Elephas maximus indicus: one gene and its partner. The protein of the gene in region 1 interacts with the protein of each later gene in a pairwise test. Links are inferred from orthologs where the notes say so. Each region holds a gene or a part of one and is shown on either strand. Other genes may lie near its edges.

Region 1 (7,166 bases):
GGGGATTAAGCATCTCAAAAATCTGTTTTGGTATGCAGTTTCTCAATTCAACTTTTTTAATTAAAAATAGTCTTAATGGTTTTGGAAAATGACCGTTCAACATTTAAAATTTTGTATAAAGAGTTTTTATAAGTCACAAAAACTTTTTTCTTAAATATATCATTCATTGTCAAGACTTTTTAAATACTGAAATATTATAACCCAGGCATTGCTGGCAATTTCTGTACTTTAGTTTCACTCTAAAATTTGCCACCAAACCTAGAACTTCAGTGAAAAAAATCAAAAGAACAAGAAACTGTTCCCAAAAGAAAATGAACTGAGGTTTCCTAAACATTAATGTTAATTTCAAGTGTAATCCCAACAGCCTTGGACAAAGTGATATTCAACTATATGCTGATCAATCAGTGGTGCACTAAACAGTCCTTAAAAATTTCCAAGGCAAAAGAACACTTTCTTCAATTGAATGCAAATCCCCAAAGAATGAATAACATTTAAATACCTACCAGTACATTATACCACGAAATGAATGGAGTTAAATAACACCTGACAGCTCCTGCAATATTTTGCTTTAAAAGTGTAACTCAGAACATTTTAGAAGAATCTGTAAGGGACAGTTAGTGAAGGAGTGAGCATTCCATAGGTGTTCAGTGTTTGACAGTTCCTTTAACCATGAAACTCCATAGCTTTAGAGTAAACTACGCGAACACTAATAACTCACTGATATCTAGTAGTAACTAATACATTTTTGAAAAATTCCCTTAAAACAAATAAGTTAACAAGACCAGTGAGTCTTTACAATGAAAACATTCAGTATTCTACTGAGGCGTCATGTAAACACAGTTCATCTATAATCTCATTTCAATAACTTGGCAAGAATAATGCACTTACGCATTAAAAAACTCATTGCCACTGAGTCGATTCCGACTCATAGTGACCCTAAAAGACAGAGTAGAACTGCCCCACAGGGTTTCCAAGGAGTGGCTGGTGGACTGGAACTACTGACTTCCGGTTAGCAGCCAAGCTCTTAACCACTGCACCACCAAGGCTCCACCACCAAGGCTCCACTTATAGAGGTATTAAATACATATATTAGAGGTACTAAAAATATTTTGATTCAGTTCAAGTTATAAATTCAAATTTCAGCAGTCACCAGACTGTGATCTTAGATAAGTAATCTCTTTTAAAAATGTGAAAACCCAAGCTGAGACGTGAAATAGTGGTGAATACATATAAATATTAGATATTAAAAAATGTGACTCAATTCAAGTTATAAATTAAAATTTCAACAGTTACTAGACTGTGATCTCAAATAAGTTATTTTACAGATATAAAAACCTAAGCTGAGATGTGAAATAGGGGTGATTGAATCAGACTCACCTAACTTGAAATGTAAGAAATAATCAGTGAATTGCTATGAAATGCTTTTATTCACGCATGCTACCCTGCAAACATATTTTAGATGCAGAGTAAAAGTAGTGAAATTACACTTATCTGGAAGGTCTGTATTTTTCAAAACAAAAGCTAAGGTGTATACTGAGAAGAGCTTAAGTTAATGTTAAAAACCCAACACACAAAGTCAATACGAGTATTTTCTAATTGACCAGTTTTTTTTTTTTTACAACAGAGAGGAAAAAGAAAAGTCAATGAACCATTTCTAGAGTCAGTGAGAGAGATCATTTCTACACAATACACCTAAAAGTTAAAATTACTAAGAAATCTTCATTCACTCCTCCCTTCTGTTGACTAATCCCTACAGCAGCCAAAAAAGTTACTCTCCTTCCTAACTACATCAGATTACTATTTTTCTTCATAGGCAGCTTTCCATTCCCAGGTATACGTTAACACCAAGAAAAATGTACAAATGTCAATAAGCACCAAAAAGCTAAGTGCTCAGCAAAAGAGGGTAATCCACCAAAAAGAAAATATTTGACACCCCCTACTTTACACACACACAAAGCCATTTAATTTGCTTTATAAACATTTACTACTGAAGTACACTTTGAGCTGGTGCTTTGATGGATCTTCTACAGCCAGCCCTAACAGAGCTCAACCAACCGTCCCAACTTTTTCAGGCAGTCAGAAAGATCGGGAGAATTATTAAAAACTGACGTCCTCAAGACCAAGACTTTGAGTGAAGGATAATCGGTATACGCGCAGTTTAGTTTGAAAAAAAAAAAAACATAAAACGGAGAATTGAAAAAGACGGTCGAAAGGTTAGAGGAAGGCGAGGTCGATGTCCGGTTCAGGGAGGACGGCACTGGAGGGACAGACAGCGATTAACTGAACATTTGAATATGCTGAGGAGAGTTCTGTGAGACACCTGACCCGGGTACAGATACAAGAACGCTGATACGTGGCTCTGTGAAGACACGCGGGGGTGGAGCCCGCCCCGCTAAACCCCAGGCTCCCTGAATGGAGTCCTCAAAGGAGAACCGCAGACTACGAAAGTCAACGGGTTCATGGAGGCCCGCACCGATCCGGGTACGCCAAAGCCAAAGTGCCGCCGCGCGCAGAGCCACCGGGTCCGATGCCTCAGGGGCGGCCCTCAAGAAGTCAGAGCAGCCCTTGGGGTCCGGGCCCCTCCTGGCCCAGCCTCTGTCCTCTGTTCTCACCCCCCACAGACTAGAACCGGACCCCTGGGCTTATCAGGAAGCTTCCGGTCGAGGGCTCGCAGCAGCCGCTGGGCAATAGAAGCAATATACTCTCGGCGCCGAGAGTGACACTCACCGGCCCGAAACCTCGAATGAAACCAGCAGCTCCGGGGGCGGCGGCAGCAGTGGCAGCAGGAACCGAACATCCAAAATGGCGGCTTCCTCGCCTCACCACCGCTACCGCAGGCGGAGGGATCCTTAGGAGGGACGGAGTTTTAACTAACTTCACACACTATTGCATAAACTTCGGGTTCCTATCCTCCTCTCCTTATCGATTCCGCACCCTCTAACTGCAACCTTTTGCGCCTCTCTTCTGCTATTATCCAAGAATCTAGACGTCGCCGAGGACTATTTGCCACGGAGGAAGCGACTGCCCCTGGCCGAGCGACGCGAAGCGTAGCAAGGTTCGGGGCTGTCACTGATGACGCGAGACGCTGCTGCCGAGTCACCGCTGCGATGAGTCTGAACAAGAAGGATCCGGTCAACCCCGGAGCTGACGAACATTGGTTCCGCTTTGTGGGGGGAGGGGGGAGGGAACGGGTTGGGCTAATGGCACCTGAAGGGGGCGGGGCTAGGTAAAGTAGCAGAGGAAGTGAGAAAGGAGAGGCAGGTAAGGGGTGGAGAACCCCGAGCCAAATCATAATCCACTGAAATCCCAAGCTCTTTCAGATCACCTCTGCATGAAGAGTTAAAGGAGGACACAGTACCATCATTCAACCCCTGCATTGGACAAGTCATTTAAACTCTGTGGGCCTCACTTCCCTCTTATGTAAAAAAAAAAAAAAAAAAAAAGGATTAGGCTAGTGATAAAACCTTTCCAGACTGGGCTTTCTGTGTATGTCTTCATGAACTAATAACCTGAACCATAGGAAGCCCAACCAGACAGTTCCTGGCTTGATAAATAATTACTAACACCTGACCAAGAATATTTTCCATGTGAACATAAACAGTGTCATGATATCTTGTCCTATTTAAAGAAAAGGTGACCTACCTAGACTAAAACTCTTCGGTTAGATTGGAGATAAAGTGCCCCCCAAAGTGAATAAAGCACAGCACCCGGCTGGATGCACCAGTGAACCGAACTAATCACAAGCATTGAGTTTAGGACCTGAGTGTCATTGGAAAGAGTTTGTATTTTTTTTTTTTTTTCTCCCTTAGGCAATCATTTTCAGGGGGTTCAAAACACTGCAAAAGATGAACGGGGTAGCCCATCTGTACAATTTTGTCCTTAAACTACCGGATCATGCAAGGTGGCTGAAATAGTAATAATAGTAATCATCTTTTACCATTATTAAATATCGCTATCACATTGTTAACGAAGCACCTTCATATGCATATGTATTTTGACCCTCCCGACAACCGCCTGAGTCAGGCTGGGTAAGTGTAAGTAACTTAGTTGTATAAATAAGGAAACTGAAATTCAGACACTGACTTACCAAAGGATCCGCCCCTCCTTTCTCCCCTATGCCGCTGTAGTCCTGCTACCAAAAAACCAAAAACCCTTTGCCATCGAGTCGATTCCGACTCATAGCAACCCTATAGGACAGAGTAGAACTGCCCCATAGAGTTTCCAAGGGGAGGCTGGTGGATTCGACCTTTTGGTTAGCAGCCCAACGCTTAACCACTGCCCCTCCAGTGGTCCTACCCTGCAAATTGGGAAACAGTAACCTCTCGTCGTCCTCCCCGCCCCCCGCCCCGTCCCACCTACACACACACAGTCTCTCTCTGTCTCTCTCTCTCTATCTCTCTGTCTCTTTCTCTGTCTCTGTCTCTCTCCCCCCCCCCCCCCCGTCTTTGTGTCTATCTCTGCCTTTCTCACGGTGGATTTGACCCAAAGCAAATAGTTTAGGGAGTGGAATGCTTTTGGAATTCAGCACCCTCTTCTGCAGGAATACCATATGATGCCATACCTGGGTTTCTCTGAGGTATAGCTATTCAAGAAGGAAGGTGCTTTATTCCACCAGGCCAAATGGCAGACCATTAAAGAGAAAATTGCAGACATTACAAAATGGAGACCACTCCAAGCTTGTTTGTTTTTTTTTTTTTTACTTGTATTTCACAATATTTATAATTACCAAACCCCTCCTTCATACAACTGAAAATTAAAAGCAATTGGCCCAGTATATAAAGGGTCTTCATTATCCCAGGATCTTTGGTTTCCCTGGGCAGTGATTAAAGTCTGGAAAGGTTTATTCCTCATCTTCTCAAATATAATCCCTAATCCCAGATAAATAAATTACAGAACTTCCATAAAATGGAATATTATGTTGCCAGTGAAAACAACTATAGCTCTATCTTTATCACCGTATGGCAAATTTTTTTAAATAATATTACAAAAAAGTATTATAAAATGAGCTTGTAAAAACTACATATGCATAGAAAGAAATTTGAAGGATAAAACTACAACACAAAAATAGCTATTTTGGGGTGGTGGGGTTATAGATGATTTTCACTTCTTTACAATTTTTTTTTTTTTTTTTGCTGTTTTTGGTTTTGGTTTTTGTGTTGCATCAAGCATACTGTACTTTTATAGTTGGGGAAAAAAACAGACTTTTACACTTTGAAAAAAATTCTTAAGATAATGAAGTTTTTCAGATCCAAATGCTAAAGATAATTTTTGTTTTTAAAACACCAACAGCCTAAGAAGATTTAACAAACTTCTAGGAATAGAGAATGGCTGGGAGAAAACATCATTGTTTCTATGATTTTGTTTTTTATTGATAACTTACGTGCTTCAATTTAACAAATAACAACTGAAAAAGCATTGGCCAGGAGTCAAACCACTTGGGTTCCAGTCCTAGTTCGGTTTAAGTAACTTCCTGCTCTGAGCAAGACATTCAATATCTACGGGTTATGGCTTGCCTTGTTCCAAAATAGATTTAGAGAGGTGGCACAGTGCTTAAAAAAGCTTGGCTGCTAACCAAAAGGTTGGCGGTTTGAATCCAACAGTCACTCCTTGGAAACCCTATGGGGCAGTTCTACTCTGTCCCATAGGGTTGCTGTGAGTTGGGATCGACTCAACCACACAGGACAACAACAACTACAAGTGACAATAGCACAAACGTATGCTGTCTTACAGTTTACAAAACTATTTTCATATACATTGACTCATTTGCTGTTCACCCACCATGGGCTTGTAAAACACATGGGCGCTATTGCATAGTGGTTAAGAGAATGGGTTTCTAGCGATAGCCTGCCTGGGCTTAAAACCTTGTCCTTCCACTCATCCTTGTGTGACCTGCAGAAAGTTATTTAACATCTCTGAACTTTCATGAGCCTCTTTCTCATCTGTTAATGAGTCTTCCTCCAATCCTGATGCCCCGTTCTTCTTCAAATAGTCCAGCTTCTCAGCCTATTTGCTCAGCATACAGATTAAATAGGTATGGTGAAAGGATACGATCCTGACACACACCTTTCCTGACTTTAAACCATGCAGTATCCCCTTGTTCTGTACGAACAACTGCCTCTTGATCTATGTAAAGGTTCCTCATGAGCACAATTAAGTGTTCTGGAATTCCCGTTCTTTGCAATGTTATCCATAATTTGTTATGATCCACACAGTCAAATGCCTTTGCGTAGTCAATAAAAACACAGGTAAACATCCTTCTGTTATTGTCTGCTTTCAGCCAGGATCCATTTGACATCAGCAATGATATCCCTGGTTCCACATCCTCTTCTGAAACCAGCCTGAATTTCTGGCAGTTCCCTGTTGATATACTGCTGCAGCCATTTTTGAATGATCTTCAGCAAAATTTGTTTGCATGTGATATTACTGATATTATTCTATAATTTCTGCATTTGGTTGGATCACCTTTCTTGGAAATATGCATAAATATGGATCTCTTCCAGTCAGTTGGCCAGGAAGCTGTCTTCCATATTTCTCGACATAGACGAGTGAGCAACTCTAGCACTGCATCTGTTTGTTGAAACATCTCAATTGATACTCTGTCAATTCCTGGGGCCTTGTTTTTCGCCAATGCCTTCAGAGCAGCTTGGATTTCTTCCTCCAGTACCATCGGTTCCTGATCATATGCTACTTCTTGAAATGTTTGAACATCGACTAATTCTTTCTGGCATAGTGACTCTGTGTATTTCCTCCATCTTCTTTTGATGCTTCCTGCGTCATTTAATATTTTCCCCATAGGATCCTTCACTATTGCAACTCGAGGCTTGAATTTTTTCTTCACAACTGGACCAATGAGCAATATCACGATAAACGGAGAAAAGACTGAAGTTGTCAAGGATTTCATTTTACTTGGATGCACAATCAACACCCATGGAAGCAGCAGTCAAGAAATCAAATCATTGAGTAAATCTGCTGCAAAGGACCTCTTTAAAGTGTTGAAAAGCAAAGTCCTTGAAGACTAAGGTGCGCCTGACCCAAGCCATGGTATTTTCAATTGCATCATATGCACGTGAAAGATGGACAAGTAAGACCGAAGAAGAACTGACTCCTTTGAATTGTGGCATTGGCGAAGAACATTGAATATACCATGGACTGCCAAAAGTACAAAC
Region 2 (7,258 bases), on another chromosome or scaffold:
TCACCCCTCTTTACCTCGCTGCATCCCATTCGGTTTGTCCTCTGCACACCTCCCACACAAGAGCCAACTTTTATATGCAGAAATGCATATCTTAAACTCAGTAAGCTAGTCATAAAGGGAAACAGAAATAGGGAAGAAAGTTAAGGTCCTCCTAAAAACGTTCAAGAAATTTTTTTTCAACCTGCTCAGAAAAATCGAGAAATTTAAAGGATTTAAAACAGGTACAGATATTAATAGACTATACCACTTTCTAAATGAAAAATATTGATCTCTGCAAAGAACTGAATTCCATTTTTCTAAAATGATAACTAATAAGCATTTATGCCTTCAGTTGTATAGTTTTATAGCTTATTTCCCTGCATTTATCGTTTTAGACTGAGTAATTCATCAAACACAAAGCTTCACCTTAAACCTATTTCATCTAAATCTTTATTAATCATTATTTATAAACATCATCTCTTAAAAGTCTGCAATTTTCACATCATAAATGACCTAAGATTGCTATTTCAACGTTCTGGGGTGGCGGGGGGGGGGGAAGAAATCATACCTTTTGTAAACAATCTTCAGATCTCGCCACTCAAGAAAGCTGCACATCTTAGGTTTACGTGCTAACACGGTTTGCACAAGTTCCCTTGTGATCTTTTTCTTCTCTTTGTCTGATAATGGGACATACCATTTCTGCAGTCGAAGCTTTCCCTGACGACTAAAAAGCAACATAAACTGCATCTGTTAAGGTAAATAAAACCAAGGTTAGATGCAACACTTTGACTCAACAGAGTTAAGATTAAAATTACATGCTTTTTAGAGAAGGGGGGGGTGTTTAACTGATAATGACTAGTAGCTATCAGTATTTCTATGCCAATTAAAACAGCAGGAGATGCTTGCAGAAAGCTCTTCTTACTATATGCAGACCTCGCCACCCCACCCTATTCCACTCAAGTTTGGAAAGGAGCGCATGGAAAAGAAAACCAGTTCAGTTGGAGTGAAATTTCTGAAGAAAGATAACTCTTCTGTCATTTAAAACAGTATTTTTTACTTGTGCTTTTTTTATATGTATACCCACACTGTCTACGCATCACAGAAGAACTGGAGACATCTCCTTCAGGTACATTTGAAAGAAAGAGAAGACCTACTATTTTTCACCCTGAGGCCGGCTAGCTCCGGGCTGAATTCCTTGTAGACAAGGATATTATCACTTAAAATGCACTCTTCAGTTTATGCTAGCATATTTTAAACAAAATTTAAAAATCTAAAATATTAACCAAAAAAAGGATCCCATAAATAGATGTTTTTCTTAATGAGAGCCTGATTTTTAAAGATGTTTTGACCTCACTTTTTAAAAAATCCAACATACGTATGCACACAATAAATAATGAGTGTAAGATTATGAAAGAGAAAATAAACCTTAAAAAAGCCAGAAGTACTAAGAGTTAAACATATTTAGAGACATTACACAATACTTCATTTAAAAACCATCAAAAATAGCACCTACAGATTGAGTGACTGCTGTATTCTAGCGTATTTGATACGCTCCTCTGTGTATAGTTATTTGGAATCTGCAAACCAACAGATGTTGATTCATCTACATGTTTAATTTTTAAAGGACCAGAGGGGCCCCGGTGGCGCAGTGGTTAAGAGTCCGCTGCTAACCAAAAGGTCAGCAGTTCGAATCCATCGGCAGCGCCTTGGAAACCCTATGGGGTAGTTCTGCGCTGTCCTAGAGGGTCGCTATGAGTCAGAACCGACTCGGACCACAACGAGTTTGGCTTTCTGGTTCTTCTTGTAATTCAACTGGTCATCTCAACTGCGCACATCTAAGTATCGTTTCAACAAAGGCAATTTAAAGGTACAATTCAGAGAGATTTTTTTTCTTTTAACTATAAGTTCCTTTAACAGTGTGGCTGCAAATATAATTCAAACCTGGTTTTTAATATTCATCACACCATCTTGAATATGAACATGGAAAGGCGGAATTTACACAACCAATTTAGAATAAAATGAGCCCTACATTTCCAAAGTCGCTAATTAGTGTCGTATTTTTTTTTTGTAATAATCCAAAAAGGCATCAACGAGATATCTGGAAATTCATGACGCCGCAATTTAACTTTTTAAAGTTAAAACTGGCTTAAAGACGCAAAGCAATTTTATCTCAAAACCCTTCACTGGCACAAAATACATGAACCTTATTCAGAGACGTCAGTGTGCCTCCCAAACAAATCCTGCATATAGCGGCATTCGAAGGGGCCGCAAGGGACGCATCGACTGGACCACGCTGAATATAAACCCGTTACTAGAACTCGGAAAAGAATGGACTCTGTATTCATAGAGCTTGGTGTCCAGGAAAGGTAGGGGTCTACTAGCGATCGGAGTCTGGGCTCAAGGCTGTCTGCAGCATTCTTGTATCCGCCCTGCCACTCCACAGGACAAATAAATAATTCACTCTCCCTAAAGTACTCCTTCCCTCTTATTAAAAATCAATGCTTTGATTTTGCCGCAAATCGCAGAGCACAATTCCTCGAGGTTGGTGTTAAAAACAATGGGCTCTGCCGCGGAGCGGGCTCGGGGCCAGCGTTCCTCGGGTCTGGGCGTCGCCGACGCCCCCCCTCGGGGCCACACTCCATCCGCTGGCCGCACCGGGGCGAGGAGACAATGGCATCCGCCGCCGCGCAGGGGGCGCCAGGGGTCCTCGGCCGCCACAGTTCCCCGCTGCGTCCCCTCCCCAAAACGCCCCGCAAAACTTGAAGCGATTCCCGAACCACAAGTGCGACGGGGCTGGTGCGGCGGCCGGGACGGACTCCTGCAGCCCGGGGCGCGGACGCCGAGAGAAGTGAGTTGCGGGGCGCGGCGCCCGGGAAGCGGCCGGGCGGGCGCTGGGTGGGTTCGCCGGGGCGCGCGCGGGGCGGCGGGGGGCGCGCCCGGCCCTCCCCCACCCTCTCCTTCCCCAGCCTTCGTTCGCCCCCCGGGACTTACTGCGGCCGCGGGCCGCGGGCGCGGCGGGGCTCGGCCGGCAGCGGTGGCGGCTAAGGGGAAACCCCTGTCGCCGGGGTGAGGAGCAGCAGCCGTGTTGCTGAGGGGAGGGGACCAGTTTGGAGAAAGGCTGGGTTAGGCGGCGAGGGGAGGGCGAGCCGACAGACCCCGCCCCGGGGGCCGGCCGAGGGAGGAGCCGGGGCTGCGGCGAGCGGAGGGGCGGGCTAGGCGACGCGCGGGAAGCAGCCCGGTCACCGCCCACGACACCGGAGGCAGAGTCGGCGACGGCGCCGCCCAAGGCAGCCGATTGGCCGGGTATCCACCCAGCCGGGTGGCGCGGACCGGAAACTCGGCCACGTGACCCGGAAGCGGCTTCTGCCGGGGCTGGCGCGCCTGCGCCCTGGCGCCCCTGCCCCCGGGGTGCTCGCGGGCTGCTTCCCGGGCTTCGTCTATGGTGGGTCGACGGGGTTCCGTGGCGTGCTTTGCAGGTACCACCATGCCGATCGTGGAAGCTTCCTACCTGGAAGAGCCACGTTCGTGCCCGGATCACTTTCCATGCCCCTAAGAGGCTGGCATGAGGGAAGTGTGACGGCCAGGGATGATAGGGGAGTGGGCCTGCAATTCCTGGGAAATCAAGTCAGCTCTTTCGTGGAGCTCGTGCAAGCGGTCAGAGGTTCTTTTGCAAGTATTCCGCCTCATAACTCTTCGGAACCCGGCCCTTGCCTCCCATGGCGCGGCTACTGCCATAGTCTAGACACTTTTCGCCCCAGGCTTTGCAAGAGTCTTTCGTGCGTTTGCCTCGCCCATCCTCAGTGCTGCGTATCAGATGGGTTACTGTCCGTTCTCTGCTGAAAAACGCAGACAGCCTTTCATCTTCGAGATAGAGTCTTGTTCCCGTCACTTGGGGCCACCCCTTACCCGTCTGGGTTCAGTTTAGCTTTGCCGAAGATCTGCTCAGCTTGGCATGCCCTTTCTCCTAAACGTCCCCTCTCCTGTGAAGTCTGACCCTAAAACCCTGTAAGAACGAGTTCTTTGTCCCATGTACCCACTGGCCTCCATTTAGCACATCTTGAATTGTATTCCATTTTGCATCCCCAGCCTATTCTACCGCTTGGCATATATAAAAAAAAGTCCCAACTAGTAAATATGTAAGTTGACATTCCCGAAGCCAGCTCTTCAGACAAAGAATAGACTGGACTATGAGTTATAAAATTGATACTTGTGAAGAGTATACTTCTCAGTTCAAGTAGATACATGAGACTAAATGGGCAGCTCCTGTCCTGAGGTGAGATGAAAAGGCAGAACGGGACAGGAGCTGGCTGAATGGACATGGGAAATACAGGGTGGAAAGGAGTGTGCTGTCACATTATAGAGATAGCAACTAGGGCCACATAACAATGTGTATATAAATCTTTGTATGAGGAACTAACTTGAACTGTAAACTTTCACCTAAAGCACAATAAAAAAAATCTTTTTTTAATGTGTGTTGACCGATAAGGACTCTAAAATGATAGATTTGGTAACCGGAATGCTGAGCTTAGTTCCTGGCACACAATGAATGTTGATATTTTTTTTTTTTTTTGTTTTGAATGAGAGAATTGATGAATCATCTAGTCCAACCATCTTCTTTTACAGATGAGGAAAGGGAAGCCCCATGGGATTAAGTGACCTTGCTTGAGCAGCCACGGGTTTCCCGTGTCGAATGCTATTCATTACCCCAGTCTCCTGGATTCTTACAAAGGAAGCTAGAAAATTGTTCTTGTTGGACCATGCCCTTTTTTGCAAAGGTTCCAGAATAGTCTCCAAGATTTTCTAAGGGCTCCCAGTAAAAAAAAGCTAAATTTTTCATGAAGCTAAATTTAAAGAAATGAAGGATTGTGTTCTTTCTTTTGTGTGTGTGTTAAAATGTCTTTATAAAATCGAGAGTATATAATAGGGGCTTGGGGGCATTTTTTTTAATGCCTTTATTTAGCAAAATAAAAATTGATAATGCTTCCCCTTGTTAAGCACTGGTCTTGGTGCTTGGAAATTTTCCTACTAACCTGTATGATTGATGAATATTGAAATACAGAAGAAAGTGCCAGGGAAGAGCACAGAGCTGGCTATCTGTAGTTCTCTAGGCCCCCACCCAAGCTTCTCCCTGCTCCCTGCCCAGTCAAGCCCCAAAGGCACATTCCAATGTCCTTTTCTCCCTTACTACCAAAAACAGGTGCCATTGGTTCAAAGATTGCTCTGATACTATGCAATGAAACCCTCTAATTCCAAGTGCTGCTGTCTGTTTTTCTGCACCAAACACCTATATCCCCAGGGTTCCAGAGGTAGCCACCTCCAAGTTGAAACTCATTGGTTATGCTCTTAATTAACATTGGTCTGTGGCTCGGAAAATGAGGGCTGGAGACTAGCTGATTGGGGGTAAGGGGGAGAAGGAACTATGGGAAAAATAATTAGCTGCTGAAAGCAACCATTACATAATCTTGGCTGCTTATTAATTTAGCAGAAGGAATGGCTTACTAAATTCTAATAGCAACAGCACAACTGCAAATGACCTACCAATTAACAGCGCAAGGCCCATTATTTTGTTAATCTGTTCTCTGCTTTTGGCAAGTGTATGAGAACAAAATTTATAGAAGCAGATGGTCTTTTTCAGTGGATTATAGATGGTTTATTCCCTAGTTTTAATATTAAGTGCTAATTGTGCATTCACCGTGAAAGACAAAGCACTGTTGGCGTCTTTGTTAGTAATTAATAGCTTGACTTTGATTACTAAAATTTCCGAGCTGTGGGCTTTATTATATCCACGCTTCTCACTGAGTATCTTCTTTATCTGTCATTACCATAGGGTATCTTTTTTAATCCCCTGCTTTTGTTATCTAGATGGTCCCGATTTCTTAGTGGTAATGATGGCACAGAAAGTATTTTTATGAAAAATTAAAAGTCAGATTTTATAATTGTCTCTTAAATTTTAAGAAAAGTACATCGTTTTAATTTATGCTAAATACAAGAGATCAGGATGAAATAGGGCCTCTCCCTTCTAATAATAAAACTTTGAGACTTTATGTAATCTATTAGAAAGTTTTCAAATATGGTATTAGTACTTCTTGTTAAATGTGGTATGATGGCCACATGCTTTGATCTTCTCTCCCTCTCAAACGCCGTGAAATGAAAAAGGAACGTTTAAAACATCAACACAAGGATGTCAGCGTACGTTAGTGGCTCTGTAGTGCACTTAACTTGTGTCATCATTTAAACACTGACAATTGATTTAAGGAAAAACTGTAACATTTATATGTAGGAGCAGAAATGAGGGGATGTTGAAATAATGCTAAGTCCTTCTGCACTAACAGGAACAAAATAGATAACATCTAGAATAAATAAAAAACAGGATTAGTACCATAGTCTTTAGATAAACCAACCCAAACCTGTTGCTTGTGGAGTCAATTCTGACTCATGGCAGCCCCGTGTATTACAGAGTAGAACTGCTCTATAGGGTTTTCTTGGGGAAGCAGATCGCCAGGACATTCTTCCATGGTGCCACCAGGTGGGTTTGAAACACTAACCTTTCAGTTAGTACTCCAGTGCAAACCATTTGCACCACTCAGGGATCTTAGTCTTTAATAAAACCAAACCCTTTGCCATGGAGTCATTCTGACTCATAGCTACCCTGTAGGACAGAGTAGAACTGCCTCATACAGTTTCCAAGATTATGAGTCGGAGTCAACTCAAGGGCAGTGAGTTTATGGGTTTAAGCTTCACAGAAGCAGACTGCCACATCTCTCCCACAGAGTGTCTGGTGGGTTCAAACTGCTGACCTTTCAGTTAGCAGCTGAGCTCTTAATCACTGTGCCACTAGAGCTCCCTAGTCTTTAAATACCAGGAAATAAATACCAGAAGCAATGGCAAATTTCTTTCTAGGGATGGAGTCTTGAGCTGAGATGTAATAAAGGCTATTATTACATTTTAACGCCAGTTTTACTTAAAAACAAAACACCAAATCCGTTGCCGTCGAGTCTATGCTGACTCACAGTAACTCTATAAAACAGAGTAGAACTGCCCCATAGGGTTTCCAAGGAGCGACTAGTGGATTTGAACTGCTGACCTTTTGGTTAGCAGCCAAACGCTTAACCACTGTACCACCAGGGCCCCAAATATTGTAATGAACTTGATTGAAAAAAAAAAAGTCAGTGCTAACACTATGTTGTGGACTAGTCCAGAGTTCCCTAAGCCACTCTATATGCTTTTTAGAAATTATTAAATAAAAATACCTAGCCATGCGTCTGAGGTCTTAAATGCT

Evidence for each region. The genes of interacting proteins can lie anywhere in the genome.
Region 2: the proteins of AP1G1 (region 1) and AP1S2 interact in binary tests that used the Homo sapiens proteins (3 or more experiments, as listed by UniProt). The link is inferred for Elephas maximus indicus from reciprocal best matches to the Homo sapiens genes AP1G1 and AP1S2.

Annotation. Positions count from the first base shown.
Region 1 is NC_064839.1:38,637,827-38,644,992, reverse strand, and holds the start of AP1G1 (AP-1 complex subunit gamma-1), read right to left. Parts: upstream 3,083-7,166; 5' UTR 2,728-3,082; intron 1-2,727. UniProt on the Homo sapiens protein: Subunit of clathrin-associated adaptor protein complex 1 that plays a role in protein sorting in the late-Golgi/trans-Golgi network (TGN) and/or endosomes.
Region 2 is NC_064846.1:163,729,318-163,736,575, reverse strand, and holds the start of AP1S2 (AP-1 complex subunit sigma-2), read right to left. Parts: upstream 3,108-7,258; 5' UTR 2,971-3,107; intron 727-2,970; coding exon 548-726; intron 1-547. UniProt on the Homo sapiens protein: Subunit of clathrin-associated adaptor protein complex 1 that plays a role in protein sorting in the late-Golgi/trans-Golgi network (TGN) and/or endosomes.